2 linked regions of the Schizosaccharomyces pombe genome follow. The protein of the gene in region 1 interacts with the protein of each later gene in a pairwise test. Each region holds a gene or a part of one and is shown on either strand. Other genes may lie near its edges.

Region 1 (6,939 bases):
AAAACACTAAAAGTTATGCATCGAAATCTGAATTTGCCGACGTTATACGAAACATGCTCGGAAGGGTTTTGTCACATCGCGCACTATGACTAAGATTCGAAATTTTTCCACATCTATAAATGTTGCATAAATTTTTTACTTGTAGTATAATTAGAAGAAATGGAAGAATCATAGAAAAAAAGGTTAAAAACGTTGCCATTTTACGTTTTATAGAGTAGGAGCTTTAACTTCTATAAGCCATTCGTTCTCTGCACCACGATAGCTATAAGTTTTTAGCTATTGTAGTGCTACTAAAGATAGCCAATTGTGTTCAAACTTTTAAAAGTACTGCGTAAACAAAACAACAGCTTTTTGCTGTGAACGGCATACCCAATAATTATTTACTAGATTTACAGTACAACAAATACAGATGATGTTTAGCAAGAGATTTTGAATATATCTTTTACAAAACATCATGCTAACAAACTCTTCAAAGAATATTATTTGGAATTAATTTTACCGGCTTCGCATCTAAAATTGATGGGATCTGCCTTCAATATAGAAAATTCTTCATTCACGGAGAAAACGCAAATAAGTATTTTGTTCATAAAATTAAAAAAAAAAAAAAAAAAAAAAATTTGTGTTTCTAATAAATTCTTAAAGCATTATTATAAATTACATTCGTAAAATAAAAAATAAATAAATAAAAAATTAATAATATCATTACTATTGCGTCGAAGGTGATAAAACATATAGCATAAAGCTTAAAATCTAATGACTGAGTTAGCATTATATTTATCATCTAAAGGAAGCAGTATAGCGGTTAAATCATTCAGCTAATGAGACTATTAGTCGTTGAAATATGGTGTAGCTTTGCAAGCCAAATTTTCCATGAAAGAAGAAAATTTTTTATTGAGTTTTGCCGTTTACCCCTTGATTTCTGCTTCCATCCTAATAATCCGTATTCTTAGCTTTGTAATGCTGTGCGTTTTATTTCTATTTTCATGAACGGAGTTTTTAACGTAACGTTACCACCGGAAATTGCGGTTAACAGTAATCAAGTAGACAAAAATTTGTAATTAGGTTTAATTCAGTTTATGCAAATGTAAATCTAACTTCTATTATTTTCCTAAGGTGCTTAATTAAATTAAAGGTAAAAATAATTTGCTTTAGTAAAATATATAATTCAATCTTCATGTGATGAAATGCCTTTAGATTTGAAAACTGAAGATATTGGCTTTCTTCTGGGTTATAATCTCGCTAACAAAATAACGTTAACCTTACTCAAGTTAGATTAAAGTTGTCCCAATTGCAAAACCCTAACGATACCGTAACAACGCTAGATTAGTATTTGATATACGTTTTTACATTCCTTTCCTTATTTTGTATACATTGAGAAAAAAATAATGTATTCCACAAATATATTCGTACAGAAAAAATTTAAGTAACTCTAGTATGGTAGGCACATTATTGAATGAGCTGCATTTGTCGATAGCTTGCGATGTTATACCGTAATCTGATTGTTAATCCATCCCTATTCCTATTTTTATACTGACGGTTTGAATCCGAACTGACATACCAACATACGGTAGTTACGAAAAACCTGAGTTTACTCTTACTTCAACGTAATGTTTTTTTCTGAAATTGAACTATCAAAGGGTCGTGCTTGTAAATTTTTGAATTTTTTTATTATCTATCTTAACGTTTGATATTAAACTTTTGGAGGGGAGAATTTAGTAGCGCTCTTTGAAATATGCTTTTTGCAATCAGCAAAATATGCAAACATAAATTTATACATACACACAAGTACTCTAAAAATGTTTGTATAATTCATGCCTTTTTTGTTAGCTGTTCAATTTGTTCATATAAAAGTAACAGTAGCTCGTGTCCTAATATTGATGCTGAATGTCTACTATACCCCGATTGTTTATTACAGGTATTGTGCCACTATGTTTTCCCGACAGAGGACTATCAAAATTTTAAACCGGGCAGTCGGTAATTGGAAAAAATGGAGTCTGAAGTTGCATTACTTACTTGCTCATATACAAAAATAAAAGAAGTGCTTGTGCCATTATATTTGGGAATTTGCAGCTCATCACAACTTCATGCTAGTGTTTACAGATCTTATTTTTCTCGCTATCTTTGCTCATATTGGGAAGGCTACTGCAAAAGTATGGAACAGAAATGTACAAGGATTTCTTGATTTAAACTTGCCAAATGAATGTTCACAATACACAACAATTTACAGTGACGGCCCTAGTGAATATACTTCAACGTTGCCATACACGCACTCCTTTAGCAACGCAAGTGTATATACTACCTTAATTACTATAACAAACAGTCAATGCACCGGAAACTACTCAACATTGACAATATCATCACAACCTTTAATACATACTAATACTTCCATTTCCAAGCCTTCGCAAACAGCTACACCACAAAACACTAATACCACACAAGTCTCCTTAACCAATGGAACGACAACCAACAGTTATTCTAACACAAACTCCCTGCCAATTACAGATACTATCAATGGAACTACTGAATTAATTATTCCAACAACTAGCTACAACAACCAAAGCCATACTCTTATTTACAGTACCTACACCTCCACCTACCTCCCCAATTCTACAATTGACTTATCTATTCTACCACACTCAACAATAAGCACTCTAAGTACAGTCTCCATAAATGATACTAGCGCGTCATTGTCAAAAACAACTTCACCCACTGCTGGAACTATTACTGAGACGATTGTTTCTGGTTCTGTTGGATATACTTCCACGTTTCCTGCTAGTGGAACTACCTCTGGCACTGTAGAGGTGGTTGAACCCACTGCTGGAACTATCACTGAGACTATTGTTTCTGGTTCTGTTGGATATACTTCGACATTCCCAGCTAATGGAACTACCTCTGGTACCGTGGAAGTAGTTGAACCCACTGCTGGAACTATCACTGAGACTATTGTTTCTGGTTCTGTTGGATATACTTCGACATTCCCAGCTAATGGAACTACCTCTGGTACCGTGGAAGTAGTTGAACCCACTGCTGGAACTATCACTGAGACTATTGTTTCTGGTTCTGTTGGATATACTTCGACATTCCCAGCTAATGGAACTACCTCTGGCACTGTAGAGGTGGTTGAACCCACTGCTGGAACTGTTACTGAGACCATTGTTTCTGGTTCTGTTGGATATACTTCCACGTTCCCTGCTAGTGGAACTACCTCTGGCACTGTAGAGGTGGTTGAACCCACTGCTGGAACTATCACTGAGACCATAGTGTCAGGTTCTAAAGCATTTACTTCCACATTCCCAGCTAATGGAACTACCTCTGGTACCGTGGAAGTAGTCGAACCCACTGCTGGAACTATTACAAAGACCATTGTTTCTGGTTCTAAAACTTTTACTTCCACATTCCCAGCTAATGGAACTACCTCTGGTACCGTGGAAGTAGTTGAACCCACTGCTGGAACTATTACAGAGACCATTGTTTCTGGTTCTGTTGGATATACTTCGACATTCCCAGCTAATGGAACTACCTCTGGTACCGTGGAAGTAGTTGAACCCACTGCTGGAACTATTACAGAGACCATTGTTTCTGGTTCTAAAACTTTTACTTCCACGTTCCCTGCTAGTGGAACTACCTCTGGCACTGTAGAGGTGGTTGAACCCACTGCTGGAACTATCACTGAGACCATAGTGTCAGGTTCTAAAGCATTTACTTCCACATTCCCAGCTAATGGAACTACCTCTGGTACCGTGGAAGTAGTTGAACCCACTGCTGGAACTATTACAGAGACCATTGTTTCTGGTTCTGTTGGATATACTTCCACGTTCCCTGCTAGTGGAACTACCTCTGGCACTGTAGAGGTGGTTGAACCCACTGCTGGAACTGTTACTGAGACCATTGTTTCTGGTTCTGTTGGATATACTTCCACGTTCCCTGCTAGTGGAACTACCTCTGGCACTGTAGAGGTGGTTGAACCCACTGCTGGAACTGTTACTGAGACCATTGTTTCTGGTTCTGTTGGATATACTTCCACGTTCCCTGCTAGTGGAACTACCTCTGGCACTGTAGAGGTGGTTGAACCCACTGCTGGAACTATCACTGAGACCATAGTGTCAGGTTCTAAAGCATTTACTTCCACATTCCCAGCTAATGGAACTACCTCTGGTACCGTGGAAGTAGTCGAACCCACTGCTGGAACTATTACAGAGACCATTGTTTCTGGTTCTAAAACTTTTACTTCCACATTCCCAGCTAATGGAACTACCTCTGGTACCGTGGAAGTAGTTGAACCCACTGCTGGAACTATTACAGAGACCATTGTTTCTGGTTCTGTTGGATATACTTCCACGTTCCCTGCTAGTGGGACTACCTCTGGCACCGTGGAAGTAGTTGAACCCACTGCGGGAACCGTTACTGAGACTGTTATTTCGGGGTCAGTTTCTTTTATGTCAACGATTACTGCTCATGACACTTCGTCTGGTGCTGTCATAGTTGTTGAACCCACTGCTGGTACCGTCACAGAGACTATTGTTTCCGGATCTATTCCGTTTACCTCGACTATCCCTGCTCAAGGTACGACATCAGGAACTGTTGAGGTGGTTGAACCTACCGCTGGTACCGTTACTGAGACCATAATATCAGGTTCTGTTGGGTATACTTCCACATTCCCTGCTCAAGGTACAACATCAGGAACTGTTGAGGTGGTTGAACCTACCGCTGGTACCGTTACTGAGACCATAATATCAGGTTCTGTTGGGTATACTTCCACATTCCCTGCTCAAGGTACAACATCAGGAACTGTTGAGATTGTTGCACCTACCGCTGGTACCGTCACAGAGACTATTGTTTCCGGATCTATTCCGTTTACCTCGACTATCCCTGCTCAAGGTACGACATCAGGAACTGTTGAGGTGGTTGAACCTACCGCTGGTACCGTTACTGAGACTATAATATCAGGTTCTGTTGGGTATACTTCCACATTCCCTGCTCAAGGTACAACATCAGGAACTGTTGAGATTGTTGCACCTACCGCTGGTACCGTCACAGAGACTATTGTTTCCGGATCTATTCCGTTTACCTCGACTATCCCTGCTCAAGGTACGACATCAGGAACTGTTGAGGTGGTTGAACCTACCGCTGGTACCGTTACTGAGACCATAATATCAGGTTCTGTTGGGTATACTTCCACATTCCCTGCTCAAGGTACAACATCAGGAACTGTTGAGGTGGTTGAACCTACCGCTGGTACCGTCACAGAGACTATTGTTTCCGGATCTATTCCGTTTACCTCGACTATCCCTGCTCAAGGTACGACCTCAGGAACTGTTGAGATCGTAGTACCTACTGCTGGTACGGTAACTTCGACTACGGGTTCTGGTACTTCTTGGTTTACTACTACTGTTCCCGCTACTGGTACGAGATCTGGAAGCGTAATTGTTGTTTCTCCAACTGCTCCTGCTTGTTCTTCTACTCCGTTTGCTGAGTGTCCAAATCTAAATTTTAATTTTCATTCTAAAAATGTGAACTTTCCTCCCGCTGACATTAGGGTAATTAGTGTCACACCGAAGGGTAACAATATGTACGATGCTACAGTTCAGTTCACTACTTCTTCGACTATGTCGAAAAAATCATTGAGTGAATTAAAGATATTGGGATTATCTCAAACCTATCTCTTGTACTCATACAACTCTAAAGTGGACAACATTTCTAATCCTGGCAGCTGGACTTCAACGGTAACTGTTCAAGGTACAAGCACAGGTAGCTATATTTGCATGCCTCATTTCCAAATTCAGTATGATTGGTGTAGTGCTGGTGTTACTGACATGTCTGAATGTAATACATGGAGCTATCAAAAATCCTATGATTATATTACCGGGTGCAATAATTACGATAATCAAGGCAATTCCCAAACGGATGCTTCTGACTATTGTTGGAATGTTTGTTAGTTAGCTTAAGCATGTAAGCATCAATTTGTTCTTCTTTGCTTATAATATGCTACCAATTATAACAGCAGCTTAACTTTGTCACATCATTTTTTTTTGATGGATGTCTGTGTGGTTTACTTAGATTCTATACCACAGTTTTGTAAATTATTTGTTTTTTTGTCTTTTTTCTCGGCAGTTGGTTAAAAACTTAAACTGTTGTATGTTTAACTTGCATATGGATATGTTTTAATCTTAATTTTATTCGTTATGTTATATTTAATACCACGTTTTTCTTTTTTCAAAACGGATTTTATGTAGCTTAACCATTTTCTATTTTTCTTATAATAATATTCACAATCTTTTGCTCAATTGTTAGGCAATGATTTATTTAGTGAAGTTTTGATACAGGACTTACTGCTGTGTGTATACACCATTCATGAACTCTGCTTTTCCGAGCAGTGATTTAATAATAAAAATTTACAAAAAATGGACATTCACAGTTTCTAGATTTGACGTTTCATTCTTTCAAATATCACCCAAATTTTTTGTAAAATGCAAAGTATTTTCCCATTCGCTAGTTAACAATTATTCAATTAAATAAATGACGAATAAGCAGCATATCGGAATGTTCAAATACACTTAGGAATGAAATGAAATAACCGCCAGAGAACTTTTCATGACTTTTATATTAAAAGAGGTTTAAATGTGAGGTTGCTTTCACAAAATATTTGGTATTTCGTTGTATTTAATTACAACTTACCAAACGACATTTAGGAGTCCTTTTCATGAGCCTTCATGATAATAACATTTCCATTTTATCGCGCAATAAAACAATTACCAAATTTAGTTAATTTAAAGAATTAACAATTCATAATCCCATTAATTACTAAATAAAAACTTAGATTCGGGTGTAATATGTACCCCACAGTTGCTCAAAAAGCTTCTTTATACAAATAATATGCAGATTATGAGCTATTTTCGTTCATCTAATTTAATCATACTTATGATATCTAAAATTTCCCAT
Region 2 (3,546 bases), 1.8 Mb from region 1:
GTATCTCACAACATTCCGAAACTATGCCATTTCCTAGCCCACTTTCAAAAGCCGCTTCACCAGTATTCCAGAAAAATTCAAGGGGCCAAGAAAATACTGAAGAAAATAACCTTGCAATCGATCCTATTACTGGGAGTATGTGCACAAATAGAAATAAATCTCAAAGACTTGAGTTAAGCCAAGAAGAGAAAGAGCGAGAAGCAGAAAGATTATTCTATTTGTTTCAACGGTAAGTTTGTTTGTTTATTTATTTTTTTTTAAAAAAATACATATATATGTCTCGAGTATATTTGGCTGACGTTGGTAGCTTGGAAAAAAATAGTACTATTCAAGTTACTAATCCTATCCAACAAGCTGTAAATAGCGGCTTGTATGAGAAATTGGATGATAATGATTCTGATTAAAAAAAACTAAAGTATAGACGTTGTCTTTTGTCTTATTTTTCAAATGAGTTCGGAGAGTTTCATATATCATTGTTATCATAGTTTTGTTGGACCTATACATATTTTACTGTTAATGTTTTCCACTTTTAAATTTCATGAAATTCTTCATTTTATCAAAATTAGCAAAGCAAGTTAGTACGTCGTGTATTTTACATTGTCTAGTGAGTTGGTAAACTTCATTTGTATACCGTAAATGTCTATATTTTAACCGTCGGATATTGCAATTCGCATTATGCGGTATGTAATATGTAATGAGTTATTAAACGACATTATTTTTAGTAAGATTTTGATCATGTATTATTCGGTAGGTAAAAGACTTAAAAGAAGACGGCAGAATGGAAAGATGGAAGTAATATCATGATATTCGGCAGTCATTAGGCATAATTTGCAGTTTCCCCATCTTTTCTCATAGTTGTTTATTAGTAATTAATAATAAACTTTGTCAACAATTCAGGAAAGGGTTTGTTTATTGAAAAAAGAGCGATAGCTTCCGTCGTAAATTTTTCATTTGCTTTTCGAATGTAGTGGTTGAATCATGTTATAAACCTCAATATTTATTTTCCTTGCTAGAGAGTTAGCTACTTTTTTCTAAACTAAAGATTAAAACGACAGCTGTACGAAATTGACTTTACGATAATATAGATTTCATTGATATGCGCATGAATAGGAAAACTCATGTTGGGTAAATAATGACGTAGGTTTTTTGTTGTGAAAACTCTCCGTCTCCGCAAATCGTAAGCGACGGGATGTACCCCACAATTTTAAGGATCTTCCAATTGAGTCACTTGTGAAATTTATTGCGTAAATCAAACACTCTACCGTGAGCATTACTGCAATGATGGAAAAAACATCTAATATGAGGTGCGACGATACAGTAGAACGTCCGATTCCTTCAAATATATTTATTATTTGAATATTTAAAAAGTTAACAATCGCAGAAATTTGCGTAACTTAACCCAACAATTGTGTAAAGTAAAGGAATTAACTATTCATATTGCTATGCTTTTAACGTAGATATTGCAGAAGAACAATTTTATGACGAACAAGAGGAAGTCGCATAAGTTTTATAGATTTATGAAATGTTTTCAAGTGCATGAGCAACAATTGCGTGAATGCACAAAATACGTCTTTGCCAATAAAGCGCTCAAATCATAAGATTAGAAAGAAAAATTCTTACGTTATGGTTTATTTACAAATCTAAATGCGTCCTAAAAATTTTATTTTGGTTAGTTGACTACAAAGTAAAAAAAAAAATAAGGTAAAGGAAACGATATACAGTCAATGAAATGAGTATTTTTCTAACTCTACTAGAATGATTATTTTCTAGATCTCTCTAGAAAGATAGCACAGCCTTGCGTACCGAAGTTTATATTTGAATCTGCCTCGGTTGTGGCGCATAAGTGGCAAATTTGGACTTTTCTAGAGCAAGCACTAACGAACATCTAAGTCCACCCAATACAGAGTTTGAGTGTTAGCAAAAGACGCCGTTCCGAAAGTACAAACTCCGGCAAATTCGTGATCTTTCACAACGTTTACGAGAAAATTCGAGTCATCGTACAATATATGACATCCATCCCATTCCGTGCTTCCCAGAAAGGTATAAATAAGGGTACTCCTTCCGCTAGTCCAGCATCGAACAAATACAGATTTGAATTGAATTCATATAATTTCAAGTTACTCGCAATTGTTTAAATTTTAAAAAATGTCTTTGCAACCTTTTTTCGGCTTTCCCCCTACTGTCAACGACTTGTTCTCTGACTTTGTTAGTTACTCCCCTCGTTTGAACAACCAAATTCCTGGGGAGTTGTCTCCTTCGATTGATGTGCATGAGGGTAAAGACACTGTTAGCGTTGATGTAGAACTCCCTGGTGTTAAGAAAGAGGACGTTCAAGTCCATTATGATAGCGGAAAACTTACTATTTCTGGCGAAGTCGTCAATGAGAGAAAGAATGAAAGCACCGAGGGTAACCAACGCTGGTCAGAGCGTCGCTTTGGCTCATTCTCTCGTACCATTACTATTCCAGCCAAGATTGATGCAGATCGCATTGAGGCCAACTTCAGTAATGGCCTATTGACTGTCACCTTGCCCAAGGTCGAGAAGTCCCAAACTAAGAAACAAATTGCTATTAAGTAAAATCGTCTCTTCCGATTTTAATATGATAGTTTCGAAATGGTTATGAGACCAATCTTGTTGGATTGTGAGCATATATTATTGTTTGATTTAACAATCAATCATAACATATGCAATTAATGATCCGCTTGCCATTGGATTGATGAATTTTGATAATGAATTGAACACGGTCTTCTAAACAGTAAAAGAGCATTTAAATTCCACATCAAGCAATTTATGGCCAGCTGTCAGACAGTGTTTTAATGATCTTGACTACCACTTGTTACGATTCTCCAATGATGAGCAAGTGATCTCTAGCAATTTTTCAAAATAAATAAATAAATAAATATTTTTTTATTCCTAATTAGAAAACAAGTTGTTTCAAAATGCTCTATCGTAATATGTGTAGATTTATTTTTATTTTTTTCAAAAAAAAAGAACAGTATTATGTAGCTCCTAATGAATTAACAGGAGTTACATTAGCATATCATAAAGTTGTGTATGCTCTTTGAGTCTTAAATCACCGGGGCAATGAAATCGTCTTCCTTTTGCGGAGATCTGATAATATGCTCTTAACAATTTTTGGTTTTATTAGTGAGCCATAAGGTTTGTTTAAGCGGAAGTTTTGTGATTTCATGTTAGGGACAAGGGCTTCATAGATGTGTTCCTTTCTATTTTTATTCTTTATATTACTAGTTCATTGGTTCATGGACACGCTAACCTAAAAGTAGTTAAATCTCCTTGGCCTTGAGCGAGTGTTTCCATACTACCACTAATCCTTGGGTGATCCAATGTTTCCTATAAAAAAAAGTACACATAAATATATAGCCTAGGGTACCTTTCTTTTTCAGTAATCAACATACAGTTTAAAGTTAAGAATGTTATGGTTTTCGTGTGTGATTAAACCAAATTCTTGTTTGCTATAATATCTAGCTCTACAGTAAAGCCGAAAGCTCTTGTATTGCTATGGCTTTGTAAAACTTAAATTCGGCG

The links.
Region 2: the proteins of pfl5 (region 1) and hsp16 interact in a two-hybrid assay, tested with the Schizosaccharomyces pombe proteins (one study listed by BioGRID).

The regions. Positions count from the first base shown.
Region 1 is NC_003423.3:4,419,329-4,426,267, forward strand, and holds pfl5 (glycoprotein), read left to right. Parts: upstream 1-2,066; 5' UTR 2,067-2,084; coding exon 2,085-5,936; 3' UTR 5,937-6,280; downstream 6,281-6,939. Other genes in the region: Cu(2+) amine oxidase-like protein Cao2, read right to left, coding at 6,907-6,939.
Region 2 is NC_003423.3:2,659,521-2,663,066, reverse strand, and holds hsp16 (heat shock protein Hsp16), read left to right. Parts: upstream 1-2,074; 5' UTR 2,075-2,145; coding exon 2,146-2,577; 3' UTR 2,578-2,928; downstream 2,929-3,546. Other genes in the region: ric8 (synembryn ric8-like protein), read left to right, coding at 1-229, 308-370, 417-579; SPOM_SPBC3E7.17 (uncharacterized protein), read right to left, coding at 1,089-1,271.